Linked DNA regions of Arabidopsis thaliana. The protein of the gene in region 2 interacts with the protein of the main gene of each other region in a pairwise test. Each region holds a gene or a part of one and is shown on either strand. Other genes may lie near its edges. The genes, in order: AT1G26660, PFD6 and TRP1.

What was found.
Region 1: the proteins of PFD6 (region 2) and AT1G26660 interact in a two-hybrid assay, tested with the Arabidopsis thaliana proteins (one large-scale study listed by BioGRID).
Region 3: the proteins of PFD6 (region 2) and TRP1 interact in a two-hybrid assay, tested with the Arabidopsis thaliana proteins (one large-scale study listed by BioGRID).

Annotation. Positions count from the first base shown.
Region 1 is NC_003070.9:9,206,546-9,214,427, forward strand, and holds AT1G26660 (Prefoldin chaperone subunit family protein), read left to right. Parts: upstream 1-5,218; 5' UTR 5,219-5,340; intron 5,341-5,750; 5' UTR 5,751-5,752; coding exon 5,753-5,844; intron 5,845-5,959; coding exon 5,960-6,064; intron 6,065-6,295; coding exon 6,296-6,397; intron 6,398-6,674; coding exon 6,675-6,782; intron 6,783-6,936; coding exon 6,937-6,991; intron 6,992-7,148; coding exon 7,149-7,220; 3' UTR 7,221-7,330; downstream 7,331-7,882. Other genes in the region: FBR12 (Eukaryotic translation initiation factor 5A-1 (eIF-5A 1) protein), read left to right, coding at 1-29, 127-183, 272-346, 449-553; AT1G26640 (Amino acid kinase family protein), read right to left, coding at 1,075-1,170, 1,272-1,375, 1,472-1,534, 1,609-1,681, 1,776-1,853, 1,940-1,975, 2,064-2,120, 2,205-2,266 and 4 more; AT1G26650 (Son of sevenless protein), read left to right, coding at 3,790-4,797.
Region 2 is NC_003070.9:10,503,666-10,511,476, reverse strand, and holds PFD6 (prefoldin 6), read right to left. Parts: upstream 3,945-7,811; 5' UTR 3,812-3,944; coding exon 3,736-3,811; intron 3,642-3,735; coding exon 3,571-3,641; intron 3,452-3,570; coding exon 3,327-3,451; intron 3,090-3,326; coding exon 3,029-3,089; intron 2,713-3,028; coding exon 2,656-2,712; 3' UTR 2,326-2,655; downstream 1-2,325. Other genes in the region: MNS3 (alpha-mannosidase 3), read left to right, coding at 1-669, 775-1,036, 1,170-1,367, 1,456-1,604, 1,696-1,945; AT1G29980 (choice-of-anchor C domain protein, putative (Protein of unknown function, DUF642)), read left to right, coding at 5,483-5,597, 6,867-7,391, 7,483-7,811. UniProt on the Arabidopsis thaliana protein: Binds specifically to cytosolic chaperonin (c-CPN) and transfers target proteins to it. Binds to nascent polypeptide chain and promotes folding in an environment in which there are many competing pathways for nonnative proteins.
Region 3 is NC_003076.8:5,953,413-5,962,515, reverse strand, and holds TRP1 (tryptophan biosynthesis 1), read right to left. Parts: upstream 5,437-9,103; 5' UTR 5,187-5,436; coding exon 4,969-5,186; intron 4,859-4,968; coding exon 4,747-4,858; intron 4,395-4,746; coding exon 4,251-4,394; intron 4,139-4,250; coding exon 3,977-4,138; intron 3,863-3,976; coding exon 3,590-3,862; intron 3,507-3,589; coding exon 3,416-3,506; intron 3,338-3,415; coding exon 3,278-3,337; intron 3,189-3,277; coding exon 3,070-3,188; intron 2,991-3,069; coding exon 2,835-2,990; 3' UTR 2,446-2,834; downstream 1-2,445. Other genes in the region: VDD (VERDANDI), read left to right, coding at 1,043-1,144, 1,431-1,719, 1,823-2,118, 2,209-2,445; AT5G17980 (C2 calcium/lipid-binding plant phosphoribosyltransferase family protein), read right to left, coding at 5,771-8,920.

The DNA.
Region 1 (7,882 bases), 1.3 Mb from region 2:
ATATTGTTCCATCTTCCCACAATTGTGATGTAAGTTACTACACAAACTATGTAGATTCATTTTCACAGTATTTGATATGATTGTGTGATCTGACTCAAATATTGTTCCTTTCTCTTTTTTTCTCAGGTTCCACATGTGAACCGTGTTGATTACCAGTTGATTGATATCACTGAGGATGGCTTCGTATGTTTTTCTTTATACTCACTTTCCTCATCACTCCAGCTTTATTTATCTATTCTTGCCATAACTTTTGTACTTGTTTACATTATAGGTGAGCCTTCTCACTGACAGTGGTGGCACCAAGGATGATCTCAAGCTTCCCACCGATGATGGTCTCACCGCCCAGGTTATTTTCTTGTCTTTTCATACTCGCACACAAATGACTTGACTTTGTATTCATCTCTCGAATTGTGATATTGAAAACAGTTGTTGTGTTTTGTTAATGCAGATGAGGCTTGGATTCGATGAGGGAAAGGATATTGTGGTGTCTGTCATGTCTTCCATGGGAGAGGAGCAGATCTGTGCCGTCAAGGAAGTTGGTGGTGGCAAGTAAACAAGTATCATTCGATATATTATTACCAGTTTGACAACGGACGTCAATGTTATAAGAACCAAAAGATGTTTTTCTTTTTCCTAATTTAGACCCTTTGTGTGTGTTTCTTGTTGCAAGACAACCATATCTATTGGTTTTGGATTGTTGGAAAAGTTTGTGTTGAAACATTCAAAGTTTCTTATGAGATGTTATTCTTAAAACCACTTTTTGTTTGTTCACTGGATATGTTTGTTCATGAAGCTTGTTTTAAGCAACTCTTTACATGATATTCATTGCTATTTGCACGATTCAAGAGTGACATATACATTTTATTTAACAATAACAGTGTAAGATATGTGATTGAATACTTGTGGAAACATAGAGTTACACAGGCTGCGATAGTATTCGACATTTTAACTGGTTTTGACATTACACGATTTTGTATTCCTTGCACAAAGTCTGGTAAAACAGTAATAGCAAGAAAAGGTCAATGCTTTCCTTTGTTGAGGAACTGGAATTAGTGTATTTGTCAGGAGATTATTCTACTTTGAGAATCTGATGATAGTACCAAGCCAATCTTCAGGAACACTATCTCTCAAATCACCGTTTAGTGCTCTCTGTGAATGAGTTGTCGCAGCCTGTTTGAGGAGATTGAAAAAAAGAGCATGATGGCGGTTAAAAGCTCCATCTTTATCTAAGATATTTAGTTGGTTAAAGGCAAAAGTTGTCTATAATCTACCTTCACAATGTAGACATCGACTCCAAGTTTTGCAATCATAGCAGCTTCTGATATCTTCGTTTCCATTCCACCGGTTGTATCGTGCGCCGCAACAGAGTAGTCAACTGTTTGATTCCAAAAATCAGAGAGGTTTGAACTTTTAACAAATCCCTCAGACTTATTGTATTGCATAGTTTTACAACATTGGTTCTTTCGTTTACCTTTCTTGTCTGTGTGCTCCAACAGTGGATTCACAACCTTCCAGCTTCCATCTTCTCCAACAGCTGCATGAACTGTTAGTATCAGGCCAAGTCTGGAAAAGATATAAAAAAAACAAACAGTAAAGTTTGAAACTAACCGATCTCTTTCAAGAGCACAGCGTCGGGCTCTGAAGGTGAAGGTGGTCGATCGTAGACACCTAGTACATCTGTCTTTGTAAAGAGTTACTCAGATAACAAAGAATATATAGGAAAGAGGGAGAGAGAACACAAATTAAATTTCCGGTTTATACTATGAATAGGATACGAGAAAGACAACATATTCTGGCTTCAAATGATCTGCAAGATGACGGATGATAACATCACCACTCAATATGGTGCAGCCCTGTTCAGGACAAGATTTTCAACTGTTCAAATTCTAAACGGACAAGAATCTAGATAGCTATTTGGTATCTCTGGAGAGCATATTACCAGTATATTGTCCAGCACTGCATCTCCATGGAGAACCTGGCCATGACAAAAATTACTGTCCAAATTACAGTCAAGAGACTTTGGTAAACATCTACCTAATTTCACTGGTGGGATCAAAACTTACAGGGACAAATCCTGAGTCTATGGTTTTAGCTACGGTTGCTAGATCTGCAGAAGCCACCTAATGCAAAAAGCAGTCTCATTGAAATCTAAACCCACATGCTTCAGATCAGGAAATATGTTAAGAAGTTCAGTTAGCTCTTACATCTCTTTTGGAGGTTGACCAACCACATGAAAATGGAGACATGCCTATCGTAGGAATGCCCTCTGCAAGAGATCATAATGTTTAGCTTCAAAATTCATCTTTTCCTCTTAGCCAGAGTAGGAAAAGAGAATAAGCTTAAGAGATACCTCGGGCTAGTGCTCGTACAATTTCAAGATTAAGATTTGTCACCTGCAAAAAGAAGTTGTAGACTATCAGAACAGCTCAAGACTATCTTACGTAAGAGCATCAGATTTAGCTAACAGTCTCACAGATATACGAGTAGCAACGAAACCAGCTTTGACAATAGGTTTCTCAAGTCCTCCTTTGTGAACCCCAGATCTACTGGCCTGAAAGTGCCCAAAGGAACCTAATGACAAAAATCAGAACAACACATAAGAAACCCAAAAACTAAATAACAGCTCAACTAACACAAGCAGGTCAATGATCTGTAAGAGCTAAATCAAAAATGTATTTTGATCCTTCATTATAAGATTTAAGCAGATAAGAATCAATCTCCAACTAACCAGCGCCATGAACCACAACAAATTTACTAAACTCAGAAGACTTTTGATCCCCTATGTCATCCACATCACAAGAAATCTCAGAGCTTCCAGGTCTCTTGCTCCAATCCATGCCAATAACCTTGCTTGGAGCTGAACCCTCCAACATAGCTTGACGTAACTGACACGCCACGACCTCCAGATTTTCATCGTGAATCTTCTCCAGCTCGTTTTTGCAAGTAATTGCCGCACCTCCTATCAAATCATTTAGACATTCTGCTGTTACAAAGTCTAGACAGGTAAAATTGATGGGAAATGAATAAAAGACAGATCTTTAAAGTCTTTCCTCATCTTCGGTATTCAATAGTCAAATCAGAATCAAACCCATAAGACAGAACAACTAAAATGCGATCTAAGAATCGATCCAGCAAGTATTTTAATAGGGATCAAAAGACAAACCAAGTTTCACAATGCAACGAATTGATCTGCTTCGACTCTCGGAAATATTCAGCTCCATTGTTGCGTCTCTCTCTAAAGCTCTCGTCTTTAGTGGTCAACGGTATGTCTCTCTCTCCCGCTCTAACTCAACTTCATCGTACTCGTATCCTTCTTCTTGCCATTTCCCATTCACCGGAAAGATTCTCTCTTTTTTTTTTTTTTTTTTTCCATAGAAATATTCTTCTTTTTATTCCTCTAAAGAAGCCCATTAAGCTATTATTGGGCCTAACCAAATTGATCAATTTTTTCAAACCGGGTTTATGGTTTAGTGTTTTAAGGTTTCAGTTAAATTAGCGGTTTAGCTTCAAGTTCGCGATGGAGTAGAAGAAGATTACCTCCGACAAAAGCACGTTCACTTGTGCCACCGACAAAATTGGAAATCTTACATTTTTTGTTTTCTCTAATCAAAATTATTGTTGGAACGTAGACAAGATCCGTTCCAAGATTCGTCTTTTTTTTTCAATTTGATTCCTGGGTTATCTGAAAGATCTTCTCTTTGCTTCGATTTCTATCTCCGCTGCTTGTGAAATCAACCTTTATGGTATGTAATCTCGAACTCAGCTAAAACACACTTCACTCTCGGAAACATGGAGACGGAAACGAATCAGGTTTTACGGAAACCGGAGCTAAAATCATACAGTCACAAACAATTTCACTCCTCAAATGCGTTAGAGATCTTAAGAGAAACAGTTCGAATTCTCCGGTACAATCTTGGTGCTTTAATGTTAACTACTGCTGTTTTGATCTGTCCTGTCTCTGCTTTGCTCTTACCAAACTTTTTAGTTGATCAATCATTAGTGAATAAACTCACAGTGAAGCTTCTTTTAGTGGCGAAATCAAGTGGTCTTCCTTTGCAGCCTTTTGTCAAACATTCTTGTCAGAAATTCGCTGAAACTGCTGTTTCGTCTGCAATGTGTTTCCCTGTGTTTATCACTGTGTCTCTGTTGTCTAAAGCAGCTGTGGTTTACTCAGTGGATTGTTCTTACTCGAGGGAAGTAGTTGATATAAGCAAGTTCTTGGTTATATTGCAGAAGATATGGAGGAGAGTTGTGTTCACTTACGTTTGGATTTGCATTCTGATTGTTGGTTGCTTCACTTTCTTTTGCGTTCTTCTTGTAGCAATCTGCAGTTCCTTCTCTGTTCTCGGCTTCTCTCCAGATTTCAATGTTTATGGAGCTATGCTAGTTGGTTTAGCCTTCTCTGTAGTTTTCGCTAACGCGATTATAATCTGCAACACTGCGATTGTGATCTCGGTTTTGGAAGATGTTTCAGGGTTAGGAGCATTGATGAGAGCTAGTGATTTGATCAAAGGGCAGATTCAGGTTGGTTTGTTGATGTTCCTTGGATCAACTTTAGGATTGGCGTTTGTGGAAGGATTGTTTGATCACAGAGTGAAGAAAGTTAGTTATGGAGATGGCTCTTCGAGGTTATGGGAAGGACCTCTTTTGGTGTTGATGTATTCCTTTGTGACACTTATAGATTCGATGATGAGTGCAGTGTTCTATTTTAGCTGCCGAGTTTATTATAGTATGGAAGCTTCTAGAGGTGAAACTCAGCCAATCATGGAAACGGTTACGGTTGTGGATGCTGAGTAATGGTGCGTTGTGCGGATCAAACTCGGTGAATGGACATGGAAACGTATTAGCTGAAGAAGAAGTTGTATATCATCAAATGGGGTTTTATTGAGCACTTTTTGTTTCACTTTGAAACTTGATGCATCTTTAAGGTTTTTGTTATATATGGTTTCTCTGTTTACATTGTTTGAAGATTATATAGCATCCCAAGTTCGTTCATAGTTCTGCTCTTGTTTCTTTTTAGCCAGTTTGATTGAGTCTTGAAAATCTTGGGCGTAAAATAGTAAAATTAAAAAGTAGGTGGGCCTTTATGCAAGGTAATTATATTACAAAGGACTTGAAATTAAAACCAAAAGTAAGAACAAACCGGTTCGCATGGTTTAAATAATCTGTGCTCGAGCGGTCAAATTGTAAAACCACCAAATAATTCTTCGTCTCCCTCACCGTCGCGGCGTCGCCACTCGCCGTCACAACCACCGTCGTTCAACATCACTGTCACCAAAAGAATCACCGTCGTTCGGTCGTGACGTGTCTGGACCTATTTCATCTCTTTGCTCGTGACTCGTGAGTCAAATACTCTTGGACCTTTGCTGTTATCTGTACCTCTAATTTTGTGATTTTCAGATTCCTTCTCGTTTATCGAGTTGGATTCTCTGTATTTGAATGTATTTTTGATAGGGTTTCGTTTGGAAACCAATTTGATTCTCATATTTAAAGTGTAGTTACGTGGTTTGTGTTCTCTCTTGGGGATGTTCACCACCTGTTCGATGAAATGCTTCTACGTATTAGTTTGATGCAATTTCTGTATAGTTTCGACGCTCTCCGAGCTTGTATTTAGATATTGATGGTTAGGTGACTCTAGATTCTGAAACGAACATTTCAAGGCTCTAGAAACTTATTCTGGACTAAGTTTATCAAATAAACAAGGGGATGGTTAGAGCCTTAAGCTTGATATGTTTATGTTCGCATTGCAGTAATGGAGGAGGGACGTCAAAAAGACTTGCAATTGTTGGAGGAGATTATCGACAAAGGTTTGAAACAGAAGCTTGTACATGCAACTGCTTCACGGTATTTATATTTACTTCCTTTTCAGATCAAAATTAAAATTGTGAGTATGATATTAAAGTGTATGTAGGATTAGTTTAGTTTGTTTTCTTTGCATGCTATTCACTTTTTGTTTGAGGTTTCGATTCATTGTGGTCTCTGCATTTGTTGGTTTTGCAGGGACAAGATCTTTGAAGAACAAAAAACACTGTATCCTTTTGTATAGGGAAGACTCTAGCTTCTCGTGATGTGCATCATCTTGTTAAGCTGATCCTAAGTGTTTTGTTAGTTTCTCCCATGTCTTAACCCTATCAAAGATGACGGGTTCATTTACCAGTCAGTTTTTGACTTAGTTTTGTGTTTCTAAATCGAGAGGAACTCTTCTTGGTGTAGTTATTGACAATACTTTGCTGTTCTAGTGAAATCTAATTCGGTTGAAATATTCTTGTTTCCTTGACGGTTACTCCCACTCCAGCTCTGACTTGCGGAAAAACCTAGAAACTCTGGAGAAGAATGGTGTAAATAGTCTCAAAACAAGGGTCAACCTTGGTTCAGAAGTTTACATGCAAGCTGAAGTGTACGTTACTTATAGCTTTGGTTCTTTCGTTTAATTTTAGTCAAGTCATTTAGCTATGAAAGGTCATGCATTGTCTGCATACAATGAAATACACTGTCTCCATACACAGCTTAATGCAATTAAGAAGTGTGCTTTTACTGTGTTCTGTATGTTAGAAGCTAGTTATGTATTATTGAGCAGAAAACGTTTAATAAATGGGGATTAAAATAGGAGATGCTTTCTACCAGGTTTGCTTCTGATTTCGTTTCACTTGACTTGGGTGTTTGTTTGAGTTCAGGCCAGATACTCGGCACATATTCATGGATGTAGGCCTCGGCTTTTATGTGGAGTTCACACGGCAAGAAGCTCTTGACTATATAGCACAAAGGGAGGAAAGAACTCAAAAGTAAGAGAAATCTTTGCTTTTCTAGTTTTCTTGCTCCATGTACAAGGAAAATATGGTTGTATCATTGTATATGATGAATGAGTTCTCCGGTGGAATGCAGTATAGTGACTGAATGTTGATGCAATATAAATGTGGTTTTTTTTGTTTTTAACAGACAACTAGAAGAGTATACTGGTGTTATTACGCAGATCAAAGGGCGCATCAAACTGGTAAGTTCAAGTTCTTATCTTGCTTTGTGATAGTAGTCAATCATTTGTCTTATGAGGTTGAATTGGACTAGAAAATCACTATTGCGTAGGAACCCTGCATCAGACGGATATATGAAAGTGTCATCGGATAAGTATTAATGTTAAATTACCATTGCAGGCTCATTACCAGATTCAGCAAATACTCAATCTTCCTGAAGAGAATCCGTCATCCCGGCAACGTGCGTTTTAGTACACTACCTAGTGGAAAGTTGAGGATTTTCTCTTGCAGTCTTATCTTCTCGATTTGTTCTGCTTACTGTTTTGAGTTTTTAAAGCAGAGAATTAACTTAGTTTGTTCAATACTAACTCTTTCTCCGGAATGGACCAAACTGTTGGTGTTAGATAAACATATCGATTAAGCAATCAAAACTTTATAGAATGACTATTGTTGTGGGGGTGAATAGTGAATCGCACTCTGTTAAATCTGCCATTTCTATTTTAAATATTAATAATCACATGTTAGAACTTAGAAGATCATTAACAGTTTAACACAGCTGATGAAGAATGAAATAAAAGTATGAACGAAACAGATACAAGATAATGATATTCCACGTCAGCAAAGTGTCCAAATATCTTCCGCTTCCCTGTCTTCGTCGGTCCCTTTTCGGTTTTCACGGTAAGGCTCGGAGGAAAACCTAATTCGTCCGGAGAATCTCCACCTCACTCTCGCCAAACGCATCTCTGTTGTAGGTAAGTCACGGATCTTCATTCTACGCTAATTGTTATTGTTATCGTTATTCTTGATCTGGGCGTTTTTGTGGAATTTGCATCTAAAATTAGAAATTTGGATACCAAAATCCACTCCAATTGAATAAGGTTTCTGAAGAATTTTCGTTTGATTTTGAGATCGAA
Region 2 (7,811 bases):
AACTATTTCAAATTCTGACCCAAAATGGGCAGCTAGGCAGCAAAGTGTAAAAGAGGCTTTTGACCATGCATGGTCTGGCTATAGAAAGTACGCCATGGGTTATGACGAGCTAATGCCTATTAGCCAGAAAGGTGTGGATGGTTTAGGAGGATTAGGTGCCACTGTTGTGGATGCTCTTGATACAGCCATGATAATGGGTCTTGATAATATCGTCTCTGAAGCAGGATCATGGGTTGAGACTCATCTCTTGGAGAGAATCAGTCAAAAAGGTCAAGTTAATTTGTTTGAAACTACAATACGTGTCTTAGGTGGGCTTCTAAGTGCATACCATTTGAGTGGAGGAGAGCAGGGTACGGTGAACATGACCCATGTTGGACCGAAACCAGTCATCTATCTAAATATTGCTAAGGATTTGGCTGACCGTCTACTTTCGGCTTTTACCTCCAGCCCTACTCCAGTTCCCTTTTGTGATGTCATATTGCATGAATCGACTGCTCATCCAGCTCCAGGAGGAGCGAGCAGTACAGCAGAAGTTGCCTCTGTACAGCTTGAATTTAACTACCTCAGTTCTATTTCTGGTGATCCAAAGTATAGTACAGAGGCCATGAAGGTCTTAGCTCATATAAAAACACTTCCAAAGACAGAAGGTCTTGTTCCAATCTATATCAGGTAATTCGTGTTTGCTCTTTCAACTATAAATACCATGCTAGTAATTTGCTTTCCCTTGCTTTCCCGGGCTCTTTTGATCTGACTTGTTGTTTCTACCTGGTGCAGCCCTCAAACAGGTGACTTTGTTGGTGAGAATATCAGGTTGGGATCTCGTGGTGATAGCTACTATGAGTATTTAATTAAGGTGTGGCTTCAGCAAGGAGCTAAGTTGAATAGTAATTTCACATATTTGCATGATATGTACATTGAGGCAATGAAAGGAGTCAGGCATTTGCTTGTGCAAAATTCAATTCCAAAAGGTCTGGTCTTTGTAGGGGAGTTACCTTACGGGTCTAAGGGAGAATTCAGTCCAAAAATGGATCATTTGGTAAGTGTCACTAGCTACTTGGTACTGAAAATAGCAATCATTTCATAGTATTACGCTATTGTCATTCGCTGAGAGATTTCACGAGTTTTGTTGTTCTTGACTTGTGATTCATTCAATTGCTTTTTCTTGCTAGGTATGCTTCTTGCCTGGTACTCTTGCTCTCGGTGCTACCAAGGGCCTCACAAAGGAACAAGCCCTGAAGGAAAATCTTTTGTCCTTTGAGGACCTAGAAAATCTGAAACTTGCAGAAGATTTAGCGAAAACATGCTTTGAGATGTATGAAGTAACTGCCACTGGCCTTGCTCCAGAAATTGCTTACTTTCACACAAAGGTAAGTTTTGTGTGTACTTTTTTCCAAAACGTTATTGTCATCCTTGCTCTTCTTGTTTTTTGTTAAGTCTTGGATTTTAATAAAGCAGGATTACACTGAGGATGGTCTTGATGGTGGGAATAAGAGTTCTATGTATGCAAATGACATAATCATTAAGCCCGCTGATCGACATAATCTACTGCGCCCTGAAACTGTTGAATCACTCTTTGTCCTCTATCGTATCACAAAAGATACAAAGTATGAAAACTATTCATCCGATTTTCCCTCACTAATCTAAGTTCTTGGGGACTATTCTACTCTTAAAGCTAACACATTTCTAAAATTGCAGATACCGAGATCAAGGTTGGCAAATTTTTGAAGCTTTTGAAAAGTACACAAAGGTGAAATCAGGTGGATACACATCATTGGATGATGTAACAGAAGTGCCTCCTCATAGAAGAGATAAGATGGAGACATTTTTCCTTGGTGAAACATTGAAGTACTTATACTTGCTCTTTGGAGATGACTCAGTGATACCATTGGATAAGTTTGTTTTCAACACTGAAGCTCATCCATTACCAATAAGAAGAAACACCTGAAGGCTTAGTTTTGAAGACTACTCCAGACAATACACACACACACACACATACACAAACTTAAGAGAGGGTATGGAGAAAGTGATGTATAGTACACTGCCAATTGGAGAAGAAGTTAGTTCGTTGAGGAAAAAAAGTCATAACTTTCAATGTAAGATAAGCTTCTGCATCCAAATTATAACTTAACTCGTAAAAGTTTTTGCTTGTAGTAGTAGGTTTCTTGAGACTAATATTCTCTCTTTTCGTTAAGCTCTCACTTGGCAAAATGTAATCAGACACAATTGACATGGAGATGAATTATGGTTTTAGTTTTTTATACATACCATTTACACTGCAAGATAAGATCATTCTGATATGACTAATAAACCTTTAAATTTGAGATCATTTGGTCATCTTAGCTCTTTGTAATCTGCAAGGTGTTGCATAGAACATAATCGACTTGAAGTATGTATGAAGACCAAATTAGGCGCACACACACAATATTTTTTTGTAAATCTCCAAACTCATAACTTCATAAAGGGCGACAAGATCATGTATAAGTTACACACTTAAGTCTAGTTGTCAACAAAAAAAGATTAGTGACACAAAGAGACATCAATCACCCAATAAACTGAAACCACAAGAACCCTCAGTAACTGAATATGACACCATTGAGACAAGGCCGAGCACAGTGGAAAGGGTTTAACAAGTGTGGTTGCAACTGAGTAGCTCAATCAAGCCTTTGCTTTTCCTGCCTGGATAGTTTGTAGCCTTTGTTGTAACTTCATTATCTGCAAATATTTTGATTCCATAAATTGAAACCATAGGATCATTATCACCATTTAAAAGCCAAGAAAGTGCAGAAACAGCAAATCCTCATATTGCGCCAAGGCCAGTAGGCCACTCAACGAGACAGAGGAGATAACAAAGTTCAAGTATTTACTTTCCGGGCAGGCTTAAACTGACAACAATAGCTACCAAAGTATCTTTTTAGAGCTTAGTATACTGAGCATCAATGTTTGGACTATTATTGGTGTAGCAGTCCTAGTATCACTAATTCAATGCACTCAAAGAAGTATATAAATGCATGAGAGGCAGATGTCTTACCGTTTCTCTCTTGTTGTTTTGTTTTTCTTCCATATCTTGAAGAATTGCATCAAGCCGTTTCCTGCAAAGGATACAACAATATTCTTGAGGTCACAACACTATAGCTCAAACACTTTATCAACATCTCTCATAGTTGTTACATAGCTAGAAGTGAAAACATTTTAGCTACTTATGAACAGCAATCACTCACTATTAGCCTAGAAAGAAAGAAAGGTTCTTTATTTACAATAACAATCCCAAAATAGGTTTCTCAACGAACTGCATTTGCTTCAATCACATTAAAAGAAAAGAAACTCACAATTCAGCAGAGATGTACTCAATTCGTTTACGAACATTTGCATTAGCTTCAGCCAAATCCTGCTTCACTAACACCGGACCAATCAATTTGTAGACGTTAGCATCTTCTTCCAGCAAATCTAACTCCTGTAGATACAAGACAGACACATAAAAAGATTAAAGCCAATCAACAATCGAAATAAACTTCTCTTTTCAGTTGAAGTAGCCACAAAACTCAGATTAAACAGTGAGACATGAACATATACCTTAAGCACGAGCTCATTCTCACCGAGTTGGATCGTATACTTCTTTCTCAGCTGATGATTCTTCCCGATATCTGAAAATATGAACACAGAAAAGTAGGGTTTCCCGCCTCCAGAAACAAGAAAAGAATCAAATCGAGAAAAGTTACGAGAATCTACGAAACTTGCCTTTCTGGATTTTGCCGAGATCATTAGCCTTGTTTTCTAGGTCTCTCTGCAAATCACGAACAGTCGATGAACTCATCTTCGTCGTCGTCGTCTGCTTCTTCCTCACTCCGGTGGTTTATTGAAAACTCGCAGATCCACCAAGGAGCAGTAACAAAACTCCGTTAAAGCCCCCGTGTTTTAGTAAGGCCCAAAACCGTATTAACTTGGACTTTTTAACGGCCCAATATGCTTTTCTTCTATTATCAAGCCTAGTTTTAGTTACATACAAAAGAAAAACACTATTTATCACTTGGTGACGTAATATCTTCTAGTTCACTGATCATATCAACACTGAACATAACTCTCATAAACACAAATTTTTACTTTTCGTCCCTTTATACCTCAATCTATAACGGGAAAAATGTCGTTTAATACGTGAACTTTAAAAAAATGGTCATTTAATACGTGAACTTTATATATGGTAAATTAATACATACAAAAATCGTTGACTGGCCATTTTACACAAACTTAATCGTTGATCAGGCCAAAATCTACACGACGTTATCTGACATTAACAGACCGATAACAGCCGTTAACTAATCTCTGTTAGTTTCCAATACGACGTCATTTCGATTATCGCAAAAACGGGAAAAATGCCATTTAATACTCCAACTTTCAAATTATGGTCATTTTATACATCAACTTCACATATGGCCATTTTATACATGAACTAAACGTTGACCAACAGTTTAAAAAATGAGAATGTGTTAACCAGGCCAAAGAGACATACCGCTATCTAGGCCTAGGTATTTGAATAAATCCAAACCGAATCCAAACAAAAATCTGAATATCTAGGTCTAGATAGCGGTATGTCTTTTTGGTCTAATCAACGCATTCTCATATTTTAAACTATTGGTCAACGTTTAGTTCATATATAAAATGGCCACATGTGAAGTTGATATATAAAATGACCACAATTTGAAAATTGGAGTATTAAATGGCATTTTCCGTTTTCGCGATACTCGAAACAACGTCGTATTAGAAACTAACGAAGATTAGTTAACGACTGTTATCGGTCTGTTAATGTCAGATAACGTCGTGTAGATTTTGGCTTGATCAACGATTAAGTTTATGTAAAATTGTCAGTCAACGATTTTTGTATGTATTAATTTGCCATATATAAAGTTCACGTATTAAATGGCCAATTTTGAAAGTTCACGTATTAAACAACATTTTTTCAAATCTATAATAGTGAAAAGCCGAAGATTTTACAAAGACATTTTTGTTGTTGTCAAACTAATAATTCACTCCACAGCCTAAAAGAAATAGAGTTGGATCAAAAGTAAAGTTGCCACTTTAGTCTCGCATCTAGCACAGATCCAATGAGAGGGAAAAAAAAAGAGAGAACCTAGGTCAATACTAAAACTTATTCCATCGTGGCTCTACTAATTAGAACAATTAAATACTATGTTACAGTAGAAACATTTCTTTTACTTTTTTTTTGTTATGCGTGCATGGAGTTTTGTCTGTAAAGAGCTTTAAATATAGTGGAAATTAAATGTTGAGAGTTAAAAAAAAAGAAGAAAAAAAAAGACAAGGAGTGAGGAATCTTGGATAAAAGGACACTAACCTTCCCTGTCTTTGCTCGCTGCCCGAAAAGAACATACAGAAAGACACTTTCACATTTCACACTTACAGAGAGAGAGAAGAGAGATAAAGAGAGCATTTAGATATCTTGAGGAAGACGAAGAAGAAGTAGAGGAGAGATATGGTTCCGAGCAACAATAGATGCAAATGGAGTTCCATTTTCTTGTTTCTGCTCAGTGTCTCCGTTGCCGTCTTAGTCGCCGTCGCTGACGACAAGTCTCCGGCGGTTGAGGATGGTACGCTTTTCACTTACCTTCATCAAATTTCTTTGTTCTTTTCTGGTCTCTGCGTGATTGGTTTTTCTCAAAAATGCCATTTAAATAAGAATCTTGTGTTATCAAGATTTGGTTTCTTGAATCCAACCCATCTCTGTTTCAAGAACAGAGGACCAAAATAATTTAGTTTCAGATGATTGATTTAGTTTTTATCTGGATTTTGAGTGTTTAGATTTTTGGGGGTTTTCCTCAATTTCACTTCACTGTTGCTAAGATTTTTAAGTTGAGTTTTCTTCTTTACTAAAGATTAGAAATCTGTTATGTTAATGTCTAGTTTAAGTAAGTAAACAGTGTTAATCGAACCAGTAATGCTAATCTAGTTAAGGTTATCTCATAGTCAGGGGAAAAACTGTCAACTGAATTTAATCCGTCACAATAGAAAAGAAAATGAAAGTTGTATGGGTCTATTTGTCAATTAAGTATAAAGTATCTTATTCGTGCTTTCAGCGGCGGCAAAATTAAAAAGGAAGCCCTTCTTAAATCTTCCTTAGCTTCAATTAACAAATAACAAACACACACCAACAAAACCCTGAGAACTCTTTTTTTTTTTTTTTATGTGGATATTAATTTAAAGATCTGATTTCATAAAGAAAGTTGTTTAGGTACTTTACTTTCTAAGAAATTATTTGATTAAAAAATTTACCAAAAAAAAAAACCACTTGAGTAGGATTCGCGCCAAATAGTAGGTGGTCTTTTGGTCGTAGTATTACAAAACGACAAAGAATACTTGATAAAACGACATCCAAGTGTCTGAATACTTCTCTAGTTTTTCAACACGCTTTCTTTTGTTTTTCCACCGAAAACACAACAATTGTCTCTTGCTTTCCCCTATTAGAAGGGGCATTTTTAACTTGTAAATTGGGAACTGTAGAGTGTAAACATAAAAATTAGTAAATAGTCAAAACGAGTCTTCACAATTGTGGTCCTACTAAGTCATAGCTAGAAGGTATGGGCCGTATGTCTGGCCCCATATTAGACGTTTCAAGCCTCGTGTCTCCTTATTATTTTTTTTCGTTCACGTTTTTACAATCTAGTAAATTAAAGTGTTATGTCGAATCAAACTATTTATTTGAGAAAGACAAAAACAATCTCTTTTCACACCGCTAGCTAGTTTCAAAACAATCTTGAAACGTGATCATTTGGCGTTTCCAATGATTTTGTCTAACCAAATAATCCAATGTACATTATTATTTTAAAATTGTCTGTAACCTTTATTTTTTGTTATGACAGGTTTAGTGATCAACGGCGACTTCGAAACATCACCGTCAAGTGGCTTTCCTGACGACGGAGTAACTGACGGACCATCCGATATCCCAAGCTGGAAATCCAACGGTACGGTGGAGCTAATAAATTCCGGTCAAAAACAAGGCGGAATGATCCTCATTGTCCCACAAGGCCGTCACGCCGTCCGATTAGGGAACGACGCAGAGATCAGCCAAGATCTAACGGTTGAGAAAGGTTTTGTCTATTCAGTCACGTTCAGCGCTGCTCGCACGTGCGCTCAACTCGAATCGATAAACGTGTCGGTAGCGTCTGTGAACGCAGACGCGGACGATATGCTGGCGTCGCGGAACGTTGATTTGCAAACGCTTTATAGCGTTCAAGGGTGGGACCCTTATGCGTGGGCGTTTGAAGCGGAAGATGATCATGTACGGTTGGTTTTTAAGAATCCGGGTATGGAAGATGATCCGACTTGTGGACCAATCATCGATGACATTGCTATTAAGAAGCTCTTTACTCCTGATAAACCCAAAGGTAACCATAAATTTCTCTATATTTCTATTTTCGACTCCAAAGTTCTAAAATGTGCCTATTTCACCCTGATTTTTTTGGTTACATTTTGTAGATAATGCGGTGATTAATGGAGATTTCGAAGATGGTCCATGGATGTTTAGGAACACGTCTCTTGGTGTTTTACTTCCGACAAACCTCGACGAAGAAATCTCGTCTCTTCCTGGTTGGACTGTTGAATCGAACAGAGCGGTTCGGTTTGTTGACTCGGATCACTTCTCTGTTCCAAAGGGCAAACGAGCCGTCGAGCTACTCTCAGGCAAAGAAGGAATTATTTCACAAATGGTTGAGACCAAAGCAGATAAGCCGTACATATTGTCTTTCTCACTAGGCCACGCAGGTGATAAATGCAAGGAACCATTGGCTATTATGGCATTCGCAGGT
Region 3 (9,103 bases), on a different chromosome or scaffold from region 2:
CTTACACAATTTATCAGTGGCTGGCTCTTACGTATAGTGTGGGGGTTACATTTAGTTGATGTCTCCAGTGACATTTGATTATAGTTTTCAAGATATTGTCAAGCAAAAAGGAAAAGAAATTTACTTTTGAATTCCAAACTTCTGTTTGTATTTTATTCTATAAATAACATTGCTTTCTCCTTCCAAATAATAAAGACAAGTATACATTGCCCAAAAAGGAAAACTATAGAGACACGCACTAGTTAGGGTTGATGTGGACTGGATCCGATCCCTTTCTTCAATGATTTATTGATACGTATCTGTTACGCTGAATATACATATATGCATGTTTCTTTTGGTATTTTAGAGTACTAATGTATATTCTATAGTTTGATCCCAAAAAAAAACATGTATAGTCTGTAGTATTTTTATTTTTTTAGCTAAGTTTTCAAACATGTAGCTTGTATAAAGTTAATAGGGGTATGTGCTGGACACAAGTCTACATTCTACAGACTAGCTAGTAAATATTAGGAATGAGGTTTTCAAATGGGTGATTAACCAAAATTTGCCGTGAATGTATTTTAGTACAGTATAAGTTAATTAATAGTTTATGCAACCAAAAAAAAAAATATGGAAATATGACGCTGTCTTTTTAGAATTCAGTTACTAAAAATAGGAATTTGCTCTGCTTTTTACGTGTCTGGGAAGTCACGAGCATATTGCTGTTTCTGTGTATCATTACGATATCAAATTACGAATCACAAAAGTTTAATGATTCATGGGAATCTTTTCCAACTAACCACAAGTAAAATTAATTTCAAAGTTAATGCAGAAAAATAAAACACTTTGGCTGTTTTTAGAAATTAAAGTTTTAAGAGACCTCTCTTTTTACCCATTCTTTGCCCACAACCAGAGAGAGAGAAAGAGAAGTAGCGAGTGAGTGAGATAGAAAAGTTGAAAAGAGAAGATGCGAGTGAGTGACTGAGGAGATAGAGTGAAGAGGATTAAAGAGTTAAGACTGAGAGGTTTTGAAGAAAGATCATATCGAAGGAGAGAAGCAGAGATGGTGAAAAACAAAGCTTTTTTTGGTCAGATTATGGAAGAAAGAGATAATCCAGCATTCTTCAAGATTCTTCGAAGGGAAGATCATTCGACTGAAATGATGGTAAGCCTTATCACTTATTTTCTTATTAGCCTTTTTTCTTAAATTAAAGATCGAATCTATTGGTTCTTCAGTGTGTCTCTTGTAGTGTCCTGAACTTAGATCTGTCTGTTCTTGGTCTTAACTAAGTTTTGATGTGTGAAATGATCGGATCGGACCAAATGGATTTTGACTGTACATCGATCAGTAAACTTTTATTTACTGTACTTATCACTGAAATTGAGGAATGTGACTTCATTTTACCATTTCCTGATGTTCCATATTTCTTGATTTTGTTGCCTCTCTGAAGAGAATGATTCCTCATCACTTGATAAGAAGCATCTCCGACAAGTCTTCATCGTTTAAGATGGTCTTAAGAGTACCATGGGGAAGGTCATGGCAAGTTAAAATCTCCAAGAACCCAAATTTTCACTACATGGAAGATCGTGGATGGAACCAGTTTGTGAATGACAACGGTTTGGGTGAAAACGAGTATCTTACTTTCACTCATGAGGCAAATATGTGCTTTAATGTAACCATATTCGAGGCAGATGGTACGGAGATGCTTAGACCAAGAAAAACCATTACTTCTAGTTCCGGTAAGTGTTCATCATCTATGTTATTGCTTTCTTTATGCTTAAGAAGAAGAAGAAGAAGAATACAGTCATTAGTTACTTCTGTGGTTGATTTTGATGCAAACAGGTCGGAACAAGAGAGAAGAGAGGAAGAGCATCTACAAAGATGTGAAGAAGGAAGAAGAGATAGAGTCTTGGTCTGAATCGAGCCATCCTTGTCACAAAACAGCTGAATCTACAAGTGGGAGATTGACGCAGAAACAGGAGCTTAACTTGAGAAAGAAGGAAGCCGATAAAACCGAAAAATCCAAGACGAGTAAGAAGAAGAAGGTGGAAACTGTTAGTAACGACTCTGAAGCCGGTACTTCATCTCTTATTCCAGAATTCAAGCTCACCATAAAGAAATCACACCTTCTGTTCTTGGTAAGATTAAGCAAGACAAGACCAGTGACACACTGTCGAAATGGCTATGTATAAAAGTGTGTATTAATCTAATGAAAATCTGTGATTCAGGGGATCCCAAAGAAATTTGTGGATATGCATATGCCAACTGAGACAACGATGTTCAAGATTCATTATCCGAGAGGAAAGAAGTCATGGGATGTTACATATGTGGTCACTGATGTACAATCAAGATTCTCTGGTGGATGGAGTCGTTTGGCCAAGGAGTTAGGTTTACTGGTCGGAGATGTTTGTACGTTCAAGCTCATCAAACCGACAGAGATGCGTGTGAAAGTCTCCAAAGAATAGACACCATGACGATGATGATATTTTAGGTGTAGTTGCAGAATTAGTGAAGAACTTCGGAACAAGATTATGGTCTGTGATTCAATGTTAGGACTAATTTTATAATTTTGTTTTTCTACTTACTACTTAGGTTTGATTTGTATCCCAATGATGAATCTGAACTCCGTTTGAGTAAAACAGATTTATTCATTTTATTAAAGATTATTGTTGTAGTGTTTACATGATGAATGTGTATAGAGCTCGCTCCGGTCTCTTCTCTTTATTGTTTGACAAAGAAAACTTAAGTTACAAATAACTCCAGCTTCTTCCTTTGGCACATTGCCTCCATCTTCATCTACAATTGCTTGCAAAGGTGATCCGTTGAATACAACAATATCATAAGCCTCTTCTGGTCACTGAGATTTCTGAGCTAAGTTTGAGATGTTTATCCAAGAATCAAGCGTCTTGATAGCTTTCCCAGACGATTGTACTTCACGTGCCACGGTTACTCCTTCAGCTAGCGTTTGAACTCGGTTGCTAACCAGAAGAGCTGCAGCTGCGTTTAGGATCTGAAACAAGATTTTGAAAAAAAAGGATGAACAAATTGCAGAAGTTCAGAGAATGTTGAATCGGCAAATCAAAACATACCAATGAATCCGCAATTGCTCCACTTTCCCCTGAAAGCACACGTCTTAGCACATCCGCATTGTAGTCTGGACCTCCACCTCGCAAATCCTCAAGAGTACAACGAGGAATACCAAAGTCCACTGTCAAAAAGAAATAAGCTTCAATTTCATTAAGCTGCATCTGCAATATTCATTTTAGAGAAGGGATAAAAAGCTAGAGGAAACATTACATGGGTCGAATGAGAATTCTTCGATCTTTTCCGGAGTTACATCATAAACTAGTCCTCCTCCTGTTTTTCGTTAAGCCATGATTGGTTAATAATTGTTCAATAATAAAAGTAATCAATTTTGGGAAGAGATAATCTTACCTAACGGACTCATTTCGTCTAGACCACATGAATGAACCACCAGTGCTCTTTTCATTCCAAATCGTTGCAGTGCCTTTGCCATCTTAACAACCTATGAAACCACACAAGCAAATGGTAAGTAAATGTCTTGTTTTTGTTGATGAACAAACTAATTTCAGCAATAAGTAAATGTACCAGATCTTTGTGGTATACACCAACGACAGCATAAGAAACTCTAGCAGGATTAAGCATAGGTCCCAATATGTTAAAAACAGTTTTAATTTTAAGCTTTTTCCGAACAGGACCAACGATCTTCATAGCTGGATGATACATTGGTGACATCATAAAACCGATCCCCCCTTCTTCAACACATCTTTTAATGCCCTCTGGTCCCAAGTCCAGAACCACTCCTAGTGCCTCTAGTACATCAGCACTTCCACAAGCAGAAGAACTTGAACGATTCCCTTGCTGCAAAATAAGTATCCATTAGTTAGACGACCAGACGAAGATCATTTAGCATTAATGCAGATAGTCAAAATTTAAATATATCGTTTCTTTTAAGGATTTTCTCATTCGTTATACCTTTGCTACTTTTGCACCACAAGCTGCAGCAAGTATTGAAGATCCAGTTGATATATTGACTGTGTTTGCTCCATCACCACCTGTTCCAACTATGTCCACAGCATCAACTAATCCTTCCACTTTCCTGGCATGCTTCATCATTGCCCTAGCTAACCCCACAATCTACCCAATATCCGAATTAAAGTGAACGTTGAGTTAACTTATTGAAGTGCAGTAATATAGGATTATGTATACTTTTTTATTATAAGCCTAGATTGACTTAATGGATACTTACCTCTTCGTATGTCTCTCCTTTAGCTCTCAGAAGAACTAGAAAGGCACTGATCAGCGCCTCGTTTGCCTCATTCAGCAAAAACTCAAGAGATGATTCAGCCTCAGTTTCAGATAGATCAACCCGATCAATCAAGGTTTCAATCAACTGAAAGAAAAACAACAGAACAGAGCAAACGCAGTATGAGAACATAGTAACCCCATGATTTAAATCTCTCTCTTCAAAGCCATTGGAAAATCACCAAAAGTAAAACTCTTTTAAAACCTATAAAGTAGTACACTTTTACTCAAGTCAATAAAACCCATCAAGCAATTAAAATGAAATTCGAAGAACACACAGGGCCAAACATGTTTAGTCAGCATGAAGCCAATAACTCAACCCAACTCAGAAATACAGATACAGATATATAAAAACCCTGAATTGTTCACAAATCAAGAGACTTAGAAACAAGGGATCATCAAACCACAAACTTATCCTGAAAATAGAAATGAAGAGTCACCTGGTTGAAAGATTTAATGGAAGAAGGGCTAGCATTTGCACAAGCAGGTGGCAGAGCTTCAGCTGCACTAAATCCACCGCTCAAACCGAGATTCTGAGAGCAAGCGAAAGAGCTGCAGCAATTCAATGGATCAAGAGCACAATCAAATGACCACAAACAATTTCAAAGGATGTGTTTTTACTCTAATAAGCAGACACCTAAACCCAAAAATCGAGGCTTTACCTGCGACTAAAGGAAGATTGAGCATCCCCACGAATTGGGGAAACAGCTCCGATCGATGAGAATCGTCGCCGACTCAATGTCGGAAAAATTCTAACTCCGGTCAAGTTGCTTCTTCCGCAACTACTGGACGCATCATCTACGGCGTTGAACGAAGTTAAGATCCCTGAAAGCTTGATTCCGGAAACAATGGAGCTCGTCGTCGCCACCGCAATAACCATCACTCGATTGCTCAACCAACACAGTAGAGAAAAACTTGAACGAAGGAGAGATTTCTATGATGGTTCGTTCCTTCCTCTCTAATAAAGCAAAGCGCCTTAAACCAAATCTTAATTAACTTTTAACTTTTGGTCTTTTTGCTTATAAAGGGTTTCCAGTTTAGTACTCAGTATTTTATTTTTTTCTTGAAAAGTGTTTATTTTATTTTATTTTGGGTTTCATATGAATATATTTGTTGATTACTGAATGACTTAATGCTGCTTTGACTAATGGACCTTTGAAATTTCCAAATTGAGTTTGGTTGGTGGTAGTTGGTAATGCTTGGGCAGTGGATAACTCCTTTTGTTAGTCACCAACAACGATTTCCTTGTGTGCTTATTTCCGCACATTTACCACTCTGCTCAAAAAGTAGGTTCATCAATTTTGTCATACCAAACACTTCTTTGTTTTAGACATGGTCAAACACAGCACCTATAATAGGAAATCATATAAAAATCCATTTAGTGGCCCATTATAACCCAATAAGGCCCAACAAGGTTAAACGACCCAAACTATATATACATCCCCTCCAAAAAAAAAAACAATATTACATGAGCCGATCAGATAATGATGGTAGTCGCCGGAAGAAATTTAACACCGGAGAAGGTTTCCGATCACGGAAAATAGGATGCCGGAAGTAATAAAACCCTGACGCCATAGCCACCATCTTCGTCGGCACAAGATACAACACCAACGCCACAAAGAAACACAGCCCCACGAATATACCAGTCGCTCGTGGGTCACGCCACGTCACCAAAGCTTGCATCTTCTCCCCTTGCGCAGCCACTTCACCAAGAATCGTTTGAACTCTAGCTCCGACGTTTCGTAGCTTATCGTACCTCAACCGAACCATCTCCGGTGGTCGGTTGCTCGGTACGACGTCAAACTCCTCGTCGAGCTCGTCTCTATCAGCTGCATCAGCTAACGAGAGTCTTGGATCGAAATGTGGTAGAGCAGCACGTGACCTGAACCTATAATTCCACGCACCAATCACGAACAAGTAAAACGCTAATGTCGGTACGATAAGATCCGGGAACCAAATCAGCATCACGACAAGTGCGTGAACTAGTAAAGTTGATGTCGGATTCTTCCAGAAACGGGTGTCATCAACCCACCGCACCACGTCGACCATTCCGGCGACTACATTCACTATCCGAAGCCAATTTGCTCTGACTTTACGCATACTGAAAGTATGAGTATCGGCGTCGAGCATATACCGTACTATCTCCGGCCTTAAAGGCGGCTCAGATCGTGACAAATGTGCGGCCAAGATCTTCACTGCAGTGTTCCTCAACATATCTTCTTGAAACAAACTCAACGGTTTAATGTGATGCATCAAAGGCAATAACGGTTGAGTATACACGTGTAAGAAATCCAACGGTGGAGCTGTTCTCACGAATCTAACGGCCAATTCTATCTCTCCCAATTTTTTAACGCCGCCGTTAACTAACATCAGTAACGGATACGTATTTCTATACGCTTTACCAGTCTCCAGCGTCGATATACGTATACGTACTTTTCCAATTCTTAGATCTTGACGCGTGGCTTCTTTTCCACCGTCGACTTCGTATACTCCCCAGCTATCGAAGACTCCTATAGTCAAAACCGTACACGGATCGTATACTTTCCACGTGTACTGTTCGTTCCATTTCGGATCTAAAGAATCCGACACGGTTCGGGTACGGACCCATTTAGAACCGTATTTCGCCACCGTGTACGCGTCCGTTGATCCTTTTCCGTTAACCGTCTTCATCGGTAATAGATTTTTGCAACCGATTATACCGAGCTCGACGATTCCCACCGCTGGTTTCCATAACTGCCTCGCCGTAGGTCGGTAATCACTGCACACGTGCGCCGCCTCGTCCATCACGTGATAACCTCCGTCGAAGCAAAGCCTAATGTGAACTCTAGATCTGTTTCCTCTCTTCTCGTCGTTTGGATCTTCCAATCCTAACCATCTCGAAGCAACCAAGCGATCGTCGACGCGTCTCTCGATTGCGCTGAGTGGCACGCGAGCCATTCCGACGGTGACTGGTCCTTTCGATGTTCGATACTCCAACGTGAAAACAAGCTGATCGGAGAAAGGTTCGGCGGCTACGAAGAGTAGATCTTCGTTCCATGACGGAGCTCCGTTACGAGTAACGGCGGATTTGGTTTTCTGAACTTGGGAACCTAACTGAGCTTTTAACTGAAATGACGCTTCCTTAAACGCCGTTAACTGAGGCGGTAACAAGTCTTGTGCTTCTATCACGGTAGCGCGTAGATACCACAGCTTCGACGACATGTAAACCTTCGCTCGTGCGGTCACGTTTCCGGCTGTATCAGTTTTCCACGCGTCGGGGAATGATTCGTCTGCTTGAGTTCCTGTCCACGTGGCAAGCATTAGATCACTGTTGTGAGCTCCACCACCTTCGAGACGGTACCATTGCGGCGCTAATGGACTATCCGGCGGGTCTCGGAGCGGAATCTCTGACACGTCGAAGCAAATTCCACCAAGGAATTGGCTGGTTTCGATTCCCGTCGATGAATCCCACACGGATATCTCCAGAATTGGAGAGGAAGATAAATCCGGTGAGTCACGGAGGAAGGCGAACGTTTGATCCCACTCGAAGCAAGAGGTTTTTCTAGCCGGTTTTGATTGAATCATTGTGCCGGAGAGTGAGATCTTTGTGACTGGACTCCCGGAGGTTGGTAAAGACCGAGCTTTCACGACGCGGATGAAGACGTAATGCATCTTCTCCACCAAATCAAACGTGGATCGTTCGATCGTTGATACGTCGGAGATCTCTGATGTGTAGCTTGCAGTTTCCGATACGCTTCTCCGTAGTGGTTGTGGTCCGTTTTTGGTTTCGGGTATGGAACCGGATACAGATCTTGAAATGATAACTTCCGGTAACGGTGATCGCGGCGCCGAAGCCCAACTCATTGTATCTTCTGACTCAAGCACAATATCTTCACCATCTGGTTGATTCTGCGGTGGCTCCTCCACGGGTTTCGCCTCTGCTTCATTCTTATCTGATTCCGACGCCGGTGGTTCTTCTCCACCAACCGTAGCGTTTTCTTGTAAAGGTGGTGAGGCTTCCTCGTCTGGCTTGGGACCCTCGGCTGGTGAACTCTCCTCCGGTGGTGGTTGTGGTGGTTTCACGGTTTCTTTCACTTCAGCAGGAATGTCATTAGTCTCTGGTGGTGGCTTAGACTCGTCTGGACCTTCCGCCTTCGTCTCCTCCGTCTTTTCCTCCACCACCGTCTCAAGAGGAGCTACCGTCGGTTTCAAAGGAGGAGGCTTTTCATCGGCGTAGTAAACCCTAAGCCCAATCTCACCTTGTACAAGATTAAACAAACTCTTCTTCTCCAAAGGATAATATATCAAAGCCTCTTCTCCTTGACCAACAAACTGATCGGACCCAAGTCGGATCCTACCAAGAAAATTGTTCCTCCGGGTTTGTCCAAAGTTCTTGTCATGGTACATGTCGAGCTCAAGAACATCGGTAAAGAGCTGATGAGATGGTCGCTTTGCGAGACTGAACTCGAGTGTCTCGTTCCAAACAGGGTTTAAGTCACGTACTATGGTTCGTGTCCGTCTTCTTTGGCCGTAATAGTCGAGGACAACGTACGGACTTGACGTTCCATGACCGTCTTTTGGTGTAAGATCCTTTGCGTCTACTACTTCTACTACCAGTTTCCGGGTTGTTGCCATTTTGTTTTTCTTATTAAAACTGTTGTTTCAATGCATGCATAGGATTTAACTGAGGTGATGAGTTTGCCTCAAGATGGCTTTGTGAAAAGAGAGAAAGAGAGAGAGAGTGTATAAAGAAAGAAGAGGTTTGATTTGCAGGATTAGTGGCTTATTATATGTTAAGAAAAAAAGTGTGAAAGAATC